Drosophila melanogaster: one gene and its partner. The protein of the gene in region 2 interacts with the protein of the main gene of each other region in a pairwise test. Each region holds a gene or a part of one and is shown on either strand. Other genes may lie near its edges.

Region 1 (8,182 bases), on a different chromosome or scaffold from region 2:
TGGAGGTCCCGGCGCAATAAATGCTACGGTTGAGGAGTTGGCATCATTAGCCACAACAGCATCAGGAACTTCATGCTCAATTATGCTGACATTTTGAAGATTACGAACTGTGCATGTACCTTGAAATAGTGATCCACACGCAATAAGTCTTGAAGTTGCACGATCAATGAGCAAGACCTTATTATAATTGTCCGTCGGACTGCGAACTGCATTTAATGGACAATCAAGAATGCTACACTCGACGGAATCATTTTGAGGCCCCGTTTTCACAGTTTCGGAAAGCTCCAAATCAGGCGACAACTGATACAACCTGTTAACACCACCAACGAAGACTCGTCCAGTAATGGTGTCCACTAATAGGTGATTCAATTTGGTGTCAAACGCAGCTACATTTGTAATCGTAGAATTCAGATTCTTTGCATTCTTTATCGGTGCATTTGCATTAGTCAAATTTATCGGCTCATTTTGCGCAGTCGTCTTGTCAGACCATATATTTGCTGCCAGGGTTTGACAACCTGTCCTCGATGGCAGCCAGTAATCATACTTATCTTTAAGAATTGCTATTAACAACACACTAAGAACAAAATTCATCTCCACAATCGCTCCTTAAACAGGACTATCAAAGCTACCTTATTTATGAAATTGTTACTTGTAGGCGCTTGTATGTCCCTTATTTATTTGAAATTTTACGTAAATATTAAAATTTCCTTTGCGTTGGTGTCATTCTTGCAATTTTTATTATCCGTTCCATTCAAGATAATTTAACTTGGAGCAATAACTTGTATGACCATCATGTAAACCTGAAAAAACAATAAGGAAAGTAGTTATATATATATATATATATATATATATATATATATATACCCGTTACTCGTAGAGTAAAGGGTATACTAGATTCGTTGATAATTATTTAACTGGCAGAAGTAGGCGTTTCCGACCATATAAAGAAAATATATTCTTGATCAGGATCAATAGCCGAGTCGATCTGGCCATGTACGAATGAACGCAAGGTTAAACTTCGCTAAAACCTACAGAAACTGTCCAGTCTCCAAATGGCTTAATATCCTTTGGACTGATGAGTCAAAAATATGAACTGGAACTGGTTCACGACAGTATGTCCAACGACCTCCAAAGACCGAGTACAACCCAAGCCACACACTCAAGAATGTTAAGCACGGTGGACATAAATATGGTATGGGCCTGTTTTTCATACAACGGTGTGGGTCCCATACATATGATTAATGGTATGTAAATATACCTAGTGATGTTTTACTGCCATATGCTGAATGGAATATGCCCTTATAATGGACATTCCAATAGGATAATGATCCGAAACGCAGAAGCAAATCGGCTAAGAATAAGTTCACCCAAAATAGAATAGATGCAATGCCGTGGCAAGCACCATCATCCGATTTAAACCCGATTGAAAACCTGTGGGGGGACATTAAACAATACGTGTCGAAGAATTCCCCGATGTCCAAGATTCAGCTTTGGCAAGTTGTGCAGGATGCATGGGCAAAAATTCCCCCAAACGTCCTCGTGGACTCCATGCCGAGTAGGTGTAAGGCTGTGCTGGCTAAAAAAGGCAATCCAACCAGGTATTAGTCCCTAATTAACACATTAAAAAAAAACTATGTTAGTTCTAAGTCATGTTGTTACTATTTTTTCATATCACTGCTATTTCAGTGAACACCAGAATTTCTGCCTATTATGTTGTTTTAATCTATATCTATTGAAAAAATAAAAGTGAAACATATGTTGAATTGTTTGATATAATAATAAAATTATGAAAAAAATTCCCATTACAACTTTAAATCATATGATTTTTTATCCTAAACTCGCAAGTCCCAAGCACTGCTATTTTTATGAACACAGCTGTATATATCAGCTAAAAGGTTGAGATTCAGCATACAGATTCTAAAGACAAATACGGAGCGAAAGTTTGTTAACCTATGTTGCCACGCCCACTCTAACGCCCTAAAACCGCGCAAAACTGCCACGCTCACATTTTAAAACAAATTTTAAATTTTTTCTCATTTTATTCCTTAATATTGATATCCCAGAAAAATAAAGCAATTTCGCGTTCGCATTCACACTAGCTGAGTTACGGGTATCTGAGTCGGGGAACTCGACTATAGTATTCTTTCGAATTCTATTTGTGTGGATCACCAAACATTGAAATGCTGTTACATATAGATTATAAATGTATTTCGTGAACACCCAATAAATCGTAATTTTGAAAATCTTCACAGCCAAAAAAACTCAGTTTAAAAATTTAATCACGTCAAAACAAAAACTGTGGGTTGGCTGTAAGTGTACTTCCCTGAAACATGGGTAGTTTATCGCATAGTTTAAAATGATGTCGTACAAATAGTTTTGAAACTACAGTTAAGGTTAAAATAATAGCACTACTGCAGGTGGAAAATTGATATCCTAAAAAAAATTATAAATTTTTTTTTTTTTAAGCCAGATTGCATGAATAATAAGTACCATATGTTGCCTCTTTGAGCAATAAATTTTTAGTCTCTCAATTTAACGGTTCTTTTTGTTTTTGGGCACTTGCTGCAAAAGTGCGCGAAATGAGGCGGTAACAAAAATAGCACTGAAAACGTATTTGCTGAATAAAATTAATGGGAGTGATTGCTTTGGTTTTTTTTACGACAAATTTTGAAAAAAAGGTGTTGCATTAAAGGTTTTAATTGAATTTGCTCCAAACGAAGACCAAAAATTCTCTAGTCATGGGTCACGGAAAGCATTGTACCGTCGAAAAAAGAAATTTGATTAAAAACGTGATCTCTGAAGGTAAAACCTACGCTGAAATTGGTCGCATTGTCGGTTGTTCAAACAAAATGATCCGCAAATCACTGCTGTTTGTCGAAAAGAACGAAACGCGGCGAGGAAAGCCTTCAATGTCCAACTTGGATGCTCTCCAAGCATCCAAGCGCTTGGTTCGGCAAAGCAAGAACCCGGTGACGGAACTGAAGATGGAGCTTCAGATATACTGGCTCAACTCCTTAATATGAAAATCTCACCCAAAGCATAATTCATGAACCAACGTGCTCTACCATTTACTGTCTCCGAATAGGACTATAACCGACCAAAATATATTCCGCTACTGCCGCTAATATGTTGACCGCAACTGTACATATATATTAAACATGAATCCATATCATGCTATAAATATTAATGGAATGGAAATCCCAAGCTAAGGAGTTTCCTATGTATGCTATATAAGCATATCTCGTTTTTGCAATAAAAAATTTCCTCTACCTAACACATTAATTGTAAAACTTTGAACAAATTCAGTTCCAAACGTTCAATTTTTTTCCACTTACATATATTCGCACTCAGGCCACTTATTCCAAGCCATTTCGTTATAGAGAATTTATGTAGTTTTAAAGTATATTCACGGCTATTCCAGGATTTCAAATTTGGGCGAGCGTGCACAATATTTGGTAATTTCATTGCAAATGCATATATGCATACTGCACATACATACATACAAATTTGGCCAGCGCCCGAATTTAAATACATATAATAAACCGGTAAAATGTAAGTGCACTTAGTTTAAATGTTTTTAGGCAAAGATTATTGAGAGAAGTAAAACTCGATCTTTTGCATTTGGAATTTTTGGGATATTCTGGTGCACACACATCTATACAAAATGTATATATTTATATGCATACACATGCACATCATATACAGCAAATTTTATTTTGCTGCTATCTTTCCCAATGCATGATGCATTTAATTTCGTATGTGTGAAACGCAGCTAACAATGTATTTAAATAAGAGCCACACTTTTTAAAAATACTATTTACATAAATATAATATATACTTAAGTACATAAAACAAAATGATTGCATGGCCGTTTTTAATTTTTACATACATACAACGTTGTATACCAGTTAAAGAAAATTTGTATTTTCTTAATAATTCTAAAGCAATGCAATATACACTGGAACGTTAAATGATTTTATTACACTTTTTTTAATATTTAGCAAAAAATGACAATTTTGTATGTATATCTGAATTATGGAACGGCGATAGTTTTCTAGTGAACAATCGGAAATCCGGCTTACTGTTTGTTTTCCTATATTTCACTCATTAACTATTATTTCTTTACATCGCAAGTCACTGAACATAATTTCTGTCTATTTTCGAATTACACCACACTTTAATTTACACATCATTGTATGTAAATGTTATCGATACTATAAGGCAGAGGAGAGAATTAAACAACTAGTTGTTAGTCCTAAGACCCGTTCATACCTATCACTATCGATACCTAAATTAACCGATGGCACACTTCAAAATGTAATGTTCACGAGTACATGGAAAATGTCTTGTTGTTACTGTGTAATGACTCGTACGAAAGTAATTTGGAAGGGGTTTGATTCCCAAGCCAGATAATATTTATTATCTCTCTAATTTCCTTGAGCATTATTAAAAAATGAAATAAATATATTTAATATATTCGTTTTCTTTAATATCGATAGTGTGATGAGACTATAAAGGTCTGTTCACAATGAAAATGTAAATTGAAAAATTGGACTTAAGAATTTCATGCTAACAGCTCCTCAATCCACAGCAAATATGTGCGCAAACTGTATCAAAGCATAATTTTGTTATTTAAAATTTCATGGCACAACTTTTTTTTGTTGGCCTTTGTGCACATTTTATGACCTATTGAAATATCTTCAACTGACACCGACTGCAGATGTGCATATTTACACATCTGATTTAAAGCATTGTTGTTATGACCATGTAGTTAGAGACTTAGTTAGTTAGTAAGAAAAAAAAATAATCAATAATTTCACTGTTTTGAGGGCTGATTAGCAATAGAGATTTTTTCTAAGAAATGACATATAGATAAAAGTTAAATGAATTGAATTGCAGGGTGTTTATTTGCACATGTACACATGAAGTGTATTCCACTATTGGCTGCTTACATTCTCAGCTTCGTGCGTGCGCAGTTTGCGGTATTTTTGGCGCTACTAAGGTAAATTCTATCCATAAATCGTCTATCTCACGTTAAACAACAGGATATCAACAACTTGTGGGAAACTGTCAGAAGATACCGTTGACGCACTTTTCAAAAGTTTATTCCCCTAAATCGTAAAATAGAAATGTAGAAAGGAACAAACTTATGGAGAATTGATATTTTCGGAACTATGAACTCTAGAGAGCTCAGAGCATGTAGATTCAAGTGACGCCACATTTTTCAAGATTGTTGCAGAACGTTTGTTGTTTAACCCTACCTCCCACAATCTGCCTTAAAATGTCAGAAATAAAAGGTTTACCCGTTATTCAGATAGTGGGAACAGTGGGCGTGGCTAAAATACGTTTGGCAAATCGATAGAAACAGCCAAGAGAATTTATAAAATAAAATCGAAAAATAATTCTTAAGAGTGGGCATAACAGTTTGGGTGTGGCAAAATTTTTGTGGTATGTCAATATCATGACAGATAATTAAATGAAAACAAAATAACAACACAACGCCCACAGAAATTGTGGGCGTTAGATTGGGCGTGACGTCGTTATGATACAATCTTGCTTATCCAATTCAAATTTAAATGATCGAGTAAATATTTTGAGAAGCACATGCCCAACCGACTAATAACGGAGGGAAATAAGATTTCAAGCAAAATTTTTTGAAGTGCTTTGTAGGATTAAAACTCGAGTGCCTATAATACATGTATACTATAAATTCCATTCTATATGTACAGCCTTTCCGCCGAATACCCCTAAAAAAACGACAACCAAATCCAGTCCGAAGTCACATGTCGAGATAAGGATAATAATGTATTTGTTAAATTTGATACACAGGCACCGTATTACTTATGCGGGGAACTTAGTGCCCTAGCTATTAAGTATCATGGAGAGGTAGCAGTTCCATACGAGGGCGATGAACTGGGCGTAGAGCACCTGGTAGCCCAGCGGCACGAATCTGAAGTTTAGCATCTGTGCGGCCGGCCAGAGCATATAGTTGCGGACCAATATAGATAGGTAGCTATCAAGAATGCGCTGCCGGATTCGGTCGATGGGCTCTCCGTTGGAGAGTGGCACCAAAAAAGACATGGCCATGGTAAAGGGTGGCGCAAAAAGGGTCTGGTCGACCAGCATTTTGGTAACGCCCCGCCGCATTGGCGAGTAGGTTTTGGGAACCCGGGACTCCAAAAAATGGTACCACCGGCGCAAAGTTGGGCCAACGAACACCAGTCCAACGATGCCGAAACGGAGGGTTCGCCCCGCATCCCATTCGTCCAACGATTTCTTATCAAAAAAGAACTGGGATATAGTATCGCCCAGACACATTACCGCCGCCACATTGATGCCATCCTTTAGGTACGCTTTAAGTCTCTTCATCCTTATCAGAGATCAGTTCCATTCATAGCCCGATCCAAATTGTTTTAAATACGCAATTAAAACACAACTGAGAAATCGATTTGCTGTTGTTCGTGTAGTTTTAAAGGGTTGCCTAATAATCGCAAAGTGATTGGTGTCAATTGCTGAAGTGACAAAAATTGGCAACTCTGAATAATTATTTAAATTAAATTATGCTAGCGTATTCAACTTTTTAACGCGCGTGAGTCCTTTTAATTGTTACATGCCGAATGAGAAAACGTTAAATTGCGTTCAATATGCAATTTAATGTAATGTAATGTAAAATAACTTAAACGTTTTAAGTATCGAACTGTTTTAGCACAGAAATCTCTTTCGGAACATGCGCAACGCGTATTCTTAATATTCTTTTAAATATAAATCTTAACTTTAACCACCGCTCTTTCTCCGCAACTATTAAGGTACTGATATTAACGTCAGCTGTTCATAGTGCTGTGAACACGCCTTGACAAAGTGCAATTTTATTTCGTTATTAAATGACTACATTAATTTATGCAGCTTATATGTGATAATCTATAATCCAAATCGTTACATATTTTTATTTAATTACGTAAGTATGTGAATTTATCTTAAGTAAACTCTAATTCTTAATGGTTTCCATTCGACTTTTTTAAGCCTTCTTGTGCAATTACTTCGTCCAGGTCATTAGCGGCCGTTGCTTTCATTTAATTTAAGCTTCTTTTGTCTATTTCCCTACTGCATTTCCCGTTTTGTGACCGTTTGAATTAAATTTTTTCTTGCGCATTTTGGCAGGACCAACTTCCTCTGCTGGGTTCATTATATTTTTCTCGATGTCCTCTTCGTCTAAGAGATCTTTATATAGATCCGGGATTATTGTTTCCTTCATGAACTGCGGCGTACGACCGGTAAGCACCGACTGTCGCACATCGTCCTCTTTTTGTTCTAGCGTCTGTGTGGTGGTGTGCAGCTTGCTCCGGATCTTGTAGTAGTTAGCAGTGCTGCGAAGCTTGGCAGTAGCTTCCAAGAATTTCTCGTCTGCTTGACTAAGAGATGTGGAAATCATCTTCGGTAATTGGATGCGTTGCTTGTAGCTGCGCCCGAACAACGGATGTCGTTCTCGTAATAGGTACTTGGGTAGCGTTAGATCAGCTTGAATTGTATGTTCCTTCTGACCTGGTAGCGGTTGTTTATCATATAGACGCTTGCTGATTACCACATAGCCGACAAAGGGAATTTTCCGGAGGGCATAGGGACCCATAGATCTCAAATAGCCCAGTGCCTCGCTCTGTAACGTCGAGTTTTTGACGGCACGAACCTGGAGATCGCCCACGCTCTTCCTGCCAGGAAGCCTAATGCGCTTGCCGACTAGCAGATGTGGATCTGCACCCTTGGGACACTGGACCAGCCAGGCTTCGTCGGTCTGACCATCGAAATCCCAAAGAGCATCCCCGCAGCACTCACGAGCAGCCGCGCCTGAGGTCAGGTTCACGTACTGTTCCTCCTCCAGAAATTGGCTCCGAGGTTTTTCCTCCTGGCGGGAAAAGAGTTTTTTACTTATTTTCATTGAGCGTTGGGGAAATCAATGTATTGCAGAAAATGACCACACGTGGTACAGGTGGAAAAATACAAGGGAAATATCGATGCATCGATAACTTAAAATGATTTGAAGGAGTAAATATTGTAGTTATGTGTTTGTAAGCGTAAACACCCCTAACCTAGATAAACTATTAGATTTTAGCGATGGGTAGGAAGGAAATGTTTATAGCTGTTTCTCGCTAAAATGGAAGGGCTTAGCAAAAGTAATAAACCCTAAGTT
Region 2 (8,031 bases):
CTACAAAATAATGTATGGAAACAGATGAAAATAGTCGTTGTTTCTTTCTTTTTTTTTTTTGACAAATTGTTAAATTAATTGCACATAAAAGAGCCACAAAAGCGGCGCTGTGGAAAGAGAGATCTCTCTAGATCGCTCTGCGTAATTAAAAATATAAATGAAATGGCAATTGAAGAGCCGAAATACAAATGCCCCATGCAATCAGCTTTCTTCACGCTAAAATTAGCAGCCGCCACAAAAAGTAAAAAACTAAATAGAAGAAGAAGAGTCTGTGGGCAGAATAAATTTTACACAAATTTTCCACCGATGAAAGTTTTCCCCTTTCATTATTTTTCGGCTCGTGTTTATCGAAACTGTTCGGCGATGTTTAGATTTTCATTTCTTGTTAAGAATTCTTTTTTCCCCCCACCAATACCCCGATGCCCTTGGGCCGTGAAAATGGGGGTGTGATGTGGGTGGTGCCCCGATTAATTTAAGATTAAATTGAAAAACTGCAGCTAGAAATTGAAACTGAAACTGAAACTGTCACAGCCCAATGCTGTGGGGTAATTAAAAATAGTTCTTGCCGGGTTTCGATTTCTCGAATCTCACATCTCGATTCTCGCCGATTGCCGATTCTGCCAGTTCGATTTTATTATTGTCCCAATAAACTTTGCCCTTTTCAGTTGGCCATTGGCCAATATATGAAGAAGACGAGCAGCGTTCGCCAATTAAAAATGCACGATGCAGGGTTATGAGACAGTCGAGCTGGCTGGCCAAGATTGATGGGCCAGTGCAGGTGGACAAAACTCAAAAAATACAGGTACAAGTGACGTACAAAAGTTTAGAACGATAATTGAATTAATCAATTAATATATTAACCAGCGGAAACGGAAACTCTTTGCTTTTGCATAACTTTTAGTACAGCTGCATTGTTAGCCGAGAGACTCTATACGTCTTATCTAATCCATTCCAAATAAATCGCCTGTCGTAGTTATGGCGAACAAACGCAAGTCTCTCTTGTCCAACAGCAATTATCGGCCATTAATTGTTTCGTTCTTAGTCACTGACATATGCCAATCTACACTAATACGCATATGAATTTAATATATAATTATACATTTCAAACAACTCACCTTAACAAGCAATTTTGCTGGCAGAAAACATTTGTGTTGGGAAGGCGATATATATATTATGATTTGTTTAGTTCACTGAAAGGAAAAAAAGAAGAAGTATTGATTAAATTTAATAACTAGTAATTGGTTTAAGAACTAGTTCCAAGGGGTTTAATAAGAGCAGCATTACATAATGATGTTAGTTATGTTCTTACAAGCAACTAAAGAGCAAAGGTGTACTTAAATTAAGTGTAAAGTAGTATTTCTTTAAGTGCATAAGTATATTAGTTGATCTTCTGATTTGAGATCTCGGCAATGGCCAAAATACGTCATCTTTCGATGCCTGACTCTTTTAAATAATTAAGGAGACTGACTCATGTGGTTCTCTACCACCTATATATTACTTAAAAGGTGCACAAATAAATATACCCAAATTTATCTGTAAACAACGAGAAGTTCACAGAACATTGGTGCTTTTATTTTAGACGGTGGCACATCCGGGCGAAATGTCGAATTTCTGAGAGTGCCACTGACATGAGGCTCCATTTAGAAATATCTGTTTATATTATGTTCATTGGCCAATTCCACGACCTTCAGATGCGATCAAACATTGTCGCCTGTCAGCACTTTGAATTTTCATTGAAAATTGTATTGTTCACTGCCATTAATTGGCCTTCGCTTTGACTCCGGGGGAATCGAGCATGCAAATGCAATTTGTTTGGATGATTTCAATTGAGAGACGGGAAACCAGTGCAATGGGGTGTTTGCATGGCGATTCAAATCAATAAATCGCGAATGGTGTTTAGTCAATAAACCACTTGCAGTTTTCCCAAGAAAAATAGAAACACAAAAGTTGATTACATAAAGCACTAATGGTAAACTTCAACTTTATACCATAGCGTATTTTGAGATATGAATTACTTTAACTTGCATCTGGTTTCAACTTGCTATTAAGTACTAAAGATAACATTGAATTAGGACACGAAATTCGAAGAACTCGTGGATATAAAACACCCCCACGGAGTTATATTACTCGGGATAATCCCCAATGCTTGCCCCATTCCCAGTTAGGTTTCTTTGAAAATTGAAAACTTCTAGTTCGGAAATGAAGTGCAGTTTTGTAAACAAATGTAGGTGCTTCTAACAAACCCCTATGTATATATGTATGAAAACATATAGCGAAGGTAGGTGAGCCGTGCTAGAAGCTGTCGAAGCGTAAAAACTTAATCATATTAAGAGCTCGCAAACCGGCTCCTAAACTAAACTTGGTCTAGAAGGCAGAAGGGCCGATTAAACGATAGATGGATAGATGACTGAAGCTAAGCGAACGGGTGAGTGGCTGAGTGAATAAACCGAGTGGCTAAATGAGCAAAGTTAATGCCTCACTGGCTGTAAAACTGGAAAATCGAGGCTCAAATTAAAAACCCAAACACACCGGCACAAAGGCGGGCGTAACAAAAGTAGCATGTTGTATGTGCTTAGTTGTCTCAACTGAATTATAGACAAGAGCAGAATCTTATTCACCGGATCAGCGAACTTTTGCAATGGAAAAATGCACAAATAACAAAGCGAAAAACAACAGCCATCGCAACAAAGGAGCTCATTCACTTGGGTCATGGTCATCACGGCGATGACGGCGATGTCTGTCGCGTTTTTAATTAATAAAGAAACTCCTGTCACCTCTAAAGTGAAATAAAATGAAAATAAAAAAGAGACGGAGCGAAAGAAAAGCTCAGACAACAAAAAGCATGAAATTGAAAACGAACAGTGTGTATTTGATGTATTTTTGATAAATTGTGAAAGTGCCCGGCCCAGACGACAGCTAATTGACGCCCCAAAACTCCCCAACAAACCCATTTTTCCCGACCGAATGGCATATGTTATTAAAGTGGCGATAAAAATGCGATAAATAGCACACAAAAGCCTATCATGTGAAAGGCCAACAAAAACCCAAATGGCATATGCCAAAAAGAAAAAAGAAATCACATTGGCGATGAAAAACTTAACTCTGTCGCTTTTCAACTTGAAGAAAAAACTTCAAATACATAGAAGTACGAGTGTAAAAGATACTTGTCCTTGACCGTAAGTTTATCTAATTCGGCTGATATTTTATCACTGTCACAACGCAAAACATTGAACGATATCAATTTCCCATTTATGGGTTAATTGGGGGAAGAAAGGCAGATACGGGGATTCTACTCGAGTCGGGTTTGGAGCAATGTTTAATGGCTTTTCAAGTGCTTCTCAAAATGAGGAACCGAAGACCCTGCCTTCCACTTGCAGTTGCAAACGCATTGCGGTCATAAAGAGTGCACTTTATGGCATTCCACAAACAAAAGTCAAAGGTTTAAGGGGGCACAAAAATGGGAGTGTTTTACAGGAGTGACAGCAGTTAAAATATGTGAAAGTAATCTATACTTTCTAATTGGAACTATTCCTTACTTTAAGTTCATGATAGATTGGCTAATTGCAGAATATTTAAATAAATTTAGCACACAGATACATATTATTTATATTTTTCTGATCCCACATATTTAGTAAAAGGGGGAAAAAAAAAAACAACAAAAACGAGGCCCCAATTAGGGCCCAAATTAGGTGTTTTTCTCGAGGCTGAGGCTTAAAATAACATTCCAACCTTCGAAAGTGATAAAAGAGCCCAGCGTTGATTATTATAAATAGCAATGCTCCACCTATTATCTTATCTCTGGATTTAAATACACTTTTGGCCATGCCAAAGATCGGACCAGAAATATTTATTCAGTCAAGCAAAAAGTTTGGCTCTTCCACTGGAATCCAAATGGTGAGTACTTTCCCATTGTTCTTGTGCTTTTGCCAGTGCAATGTCATGACTTGACGCCATCACATTTTCATTTTCTGGGCTGCCTTGATTGGTGTAAAGAAAATTGCACCGACATCAGAACGCGATCTTAAAAGTCAATGCTCCTATATATTGCTCTTGTGACTGGGGGGTTCAACGAATGGCGATTATTCCAGCTATATTCTTATCAGAGGATGTTCGTGATTGCGACTCTCTTGGTAATTTCCATAGAGTTCAACCCGTACAATGGGTTTACAAATAGCACTATATATCATTTTATTCTTATTTTATCTTCATGTACTAAGCACTGTATATAATCTCAAAACAATCATTTGATTATCTACTTTGATAGATATTTCATGTAATTTACTGAATTTCTTTAAAATAATGTCATGGCTAATATGTCAAATCTTTTCGCTTACTTGACAATAATGTTCCCTGCTTTCTTGTTTGACTTTCTTTTGTTTTTGGAAAACTTCGGCACTTGTCATTGTCGGCTGCTGCCACGCCCTCCGTCACGCCCCTTACAATGATGTCACATTGCACAGACTCAAATTGCTCCAATTTCGCCCCCATTGCTTTTGACTATGTCACGCTTTTCCCAGCGAGCGCTTTTCCACACTTGACTTCGCATTTCCCCGCGATCTTGGAACCGCGGTATTCCCACCTCAACTAATAACTTTGTTGGTTTTCCATCCATTTTCCGAGTGCATTGCGCCTGGGCTTTGGCTTTTTCCGCAGTTTGCCACTGTTTCATTTTCTTTTTGCATGCCCTGGATTTCCATTTTGTCGTACTTGGTTTTTGCGCTGGTTTTTCTCGCCGATTGTGAAAAGTTGTGCACTAATGGCAGCTGTGAAATGCATTTATGTTTATGGTCTAGTTTTTCCATTCTTATTATTATTTTTTTTTTTTTTGACGCCTTTTGAGCACCTCTTAAGGGCAAACATTTATTCTTATCCTCCAGTCACATTAGTGCGAAGGCTAAGAGCAACCGTGATGGGTTTGCTTTGGAATTACGAATGGAAGTGGAGCAAAGCTGTGGGATTTAGAGTCATTTAACTTTACGGATCTTTAAGCGTCACTACTACTACCTAACTACCTTTCTTTCTATAGGACCATTTCATACCCTAGAAGACATCGTTTGCCTGTAGTATTGTTAAAATAAACGAATAACTAACTTTCATATACCAAATCTCAAGTAAAGAATGTTTTATGAAATGAATACACCTCTCTTAAGATATATGAATCCCAACATGTGTGAGAAAATTAACATAAAATACCGATAAGATTACATAAACATGCAAATCTTCCACTTCATCTTATAATATAGCATTATTGATCCCCGGCTGGCGACTCACCTTGATAATTTACAAATTCAGTTGGAACTGTTTGATTTATTCGAAAGGGTTTGCATATATCATTTTGAAAACGGCAAATTGCGATTATAATCGAAACAAAAGTGAGCAGAGGAAGAGAAGAAGAATAAGAGGAATGGCGATATTAGGGAGATAAAGTTGCACGCGAAAACCGGTTGCCGTTATTGTTTACACCAAATCGGAAACGAAGTTGTGGGGGCAGGCGCGAATATGAATGTTGTACGGAGGGGAAGAAGTGGAAACTGGGCGGAAAACGGAGAACGGGGAACGGGAAAGTGGGAATCAATAAAACAAACACACCACGAAAAACACATGGAAAGTGCAGCAAAACTATATGCCTTTCATTTCGGTTTAGTGCACAAATCGGCGAGTCCTGCTGCCACAAGAATGAATCATTCGAATCTTTTCGATTTTGTCGAAAGATATGATATGTGAGATAAATAATATGCTGATGCACAACCACACACACACTCGCACTCACGCTCACGCACACCCGCCCCCACACACACGAACGAACGAGGCTTCACTGTTTATGTTTATTAATATATTCCAGACACGCGGATCCATAGAAGAAAATCATACATATTCGAATTCACGGCGGCGACGACAGCAAAATGAAAAAAAATCGAAAACGAACCGAAAACTGAAAAGCAGAACACACGCGTTGGTCCTATTCGTTCCTTTGTTTTTGATATCGTATCGCGAGGGGCTAAGAACTATAACTATATCCGCATTATATAACCGCACTGGTAGATCCGGGCATGGCTGCACCGTGGGGCACGTAATTGCACCCGTCACTTACACTTTTCCTCGCCAGTCGCTTGGATCTCGCGTCCGAGTCGTTTGGGGATTTGTTTTTTAAAACGCGACGTTCGTTCCTCGGTTCTCGACGGCTATAAACAGTGTGGCCGCGCCGGGAGTGCAACTATAAGCCGATGGTGTGACCATGGCGGGAAAGTGGTATTATGCCGTGTGCCATATGGGCAAATATACCAAAACAATAAATAGCAATTCAAATAATTTAATATATAACATGTTTACTTAAAAACTAAGCTTTTTACCTAAATAAGTATAATAAAGATATAATAAAGTAAAATATTATTTTGTTATATATAATATTACCTGTGAAAAAATTTTAAAAACGTCAATTTGTTTTATACTTCTTTATTTCTTTCATTTATATAAAGAATTCCATGTTTAATTTATTCACATTGAAACATATTCAGCATAACAGTTTTGACCCACTGTAAACCTCCCTTTTCAATACTAATTCTAACGTCAACCATTGTTATCGATAACAGCTAATTTGCTGATCGCTCTCGTTCGCATAAAATAAACACTTTTCCGGCATTTTAAAATGGTAAGTAGATATTTAACGAACTGTGCCTTTTATACATCCCTTTTTTCCGCTAGTTTTCTGTCCTTCATAAAGAGGAAAATGCGCACGACAGTCAGCTATGGGCGTGCACCTGGGGACGCGACACTGCGGCCTCAGATCCGGATGACGCGGTCGTGGAGCCCGAGGAGAATCCCTTTGATTTCGATAAGAAGGAGGCCCGCCCGAAGGATTTCTTGGTCACCGGCGGACTGGATGACTTGGTAAAGGTGTGGGACTTGCAGGAGGACAACACCCTAAAGTTGCGCCACAAACTAAAAGGACATGCCCTGGGAGTTGTTTCTGTGGCCGTCAGTTCCGATGGACAGAGTAGGTTGAAAGATTCTGTACTTGGGAGATAGAGAAATGGACATCAATTAATGGTGCCGCCTTCCTTCCAGCCATTGCCAGTAGTTCTCTGGACTCCACCATGTGTTTGTGGGATGCCCGTTCGGGCGACAAGAAACACCTACTTAGCTTTGGGCCTGTTGATCTCTGGACGGTGCAATTTTCACCCTGCAACAAATATGTGATATCCGGACTGAACGACGGCAAAATCTCCATGTACAGTGTGGAAACCGGAAAGGCAGAGCAGACATTGGATGCCCAAAATGGGAAATACACGCTTAGCATTGCCTACGTAAGCTTTATCTGGTAAATAACCCATTTTGAGAATCCTATAGCTGTATTATTCTAGAGTCCCGATGGCAAGTACATTGCCAGTGGAGCCATCGATGGTATCATTACCATTTTCGATGTGGCCGCGGGCAAGGTAGTGCAAACATTGGAAGGACACGCGATGCCAGTGCGTAGCCTTTGCTTTTCTCCGAACTCGCAGCTGCTGCTCACTGCCTCAGATGATGGTCACATGAAGCTTTATGATGTGTAAGTGGCTTAACACCTATGACATTTTCAGGCACTACTATCTCCTCGTTTTAGAACCCACTCCGACGTTGTGGGCACCCTATCTGGGCACGCATCTTGGGTGCTGTGCGTGGCATTCTCCGAGGACGGCAAACACTTTGCCAGCTCCTCCAGTGATAACAGCGTGAAAATATGGGACACCTCGGAACGCAAGTGCCTGCACACGTTCGCCGAGCACACAGATCAGGTGTGGGGCGTCCGATATAGCCCCGGAAACGACAAGGTGGCCTCTGCTTCTGAGGACAAGTCCCTGAACATATACTACTGTCCGCCCAATGCCATTGTTTGATTTCATACAATAGAGCGTAGGTTTAAAACAAAGAACAAGAATGATTTATTTACGGATTACCCTCCGAGCTCGATTTAACCCGCAGAAGGGGCTGCGTGGCTTGAGTTAGCATCGTGTCTTTGTACTTCTGGTCGGGTATGTACATATTAAAAGT

Evidence for each region. Proteins that work in one complex are often made in the same cells at the same time.
Region 1: the proteins of Mical (region 2) and PlexA interact in a two-hybrid assay, tested with the Drosophila melanogaster proteins (3 studies listed by BioGRID).

Annotation. Positions count from the first base shown.
Region 1 is NC_004353.4:1,022,881-1,031,062, forward strand, and holds the start of PlexA (plexin A), read right to left. Parts: upstream 4,222-8,182; 5' UTR 4,083-4,221; exon of another isoform or gene 3,890-4,082; intron 3,656-3,889; exon of another isoform or gene 3,336-3,655; intron 801-3,335; 5' UTR 592-800; coding exon 1-591. Other genes in the region: mitochondrial inner membrane protein MPV17, read right to left, coding at 5,863-6,369; CG11076 (uncharacterized protein), read right to left, coding at 7,091-7,930.
Region 2 is NT_033777.3:10,036,701-10,044,731, forward strand, and holds the start of Mical (molecule interacting with CasL), read right to left. Parts: upstream 6,196-8,031; 5' UTR 6,092-6,195; intron 5,299-6,091; exon of another isoform or gene 5,272-5,298; intron 1,191-5,271; 5' UTR 1,116-1,190; intron 1-1,115. Other genes in the region: CG3909 (uncharacterized protein), read left to right, coding at 6,647-6,649, 6,703-6,994, 7,066-7,304, 7,362-7,549, 7,604-7,877; CG11722 (uncharacterized protein), read right to left, coding at 7,927-8,031. UniProt on the Drosophila melanogaster protein: Monooxygenase that promotes depolymerization of F-actin by mediating oxidation of specific methionine residues on actin.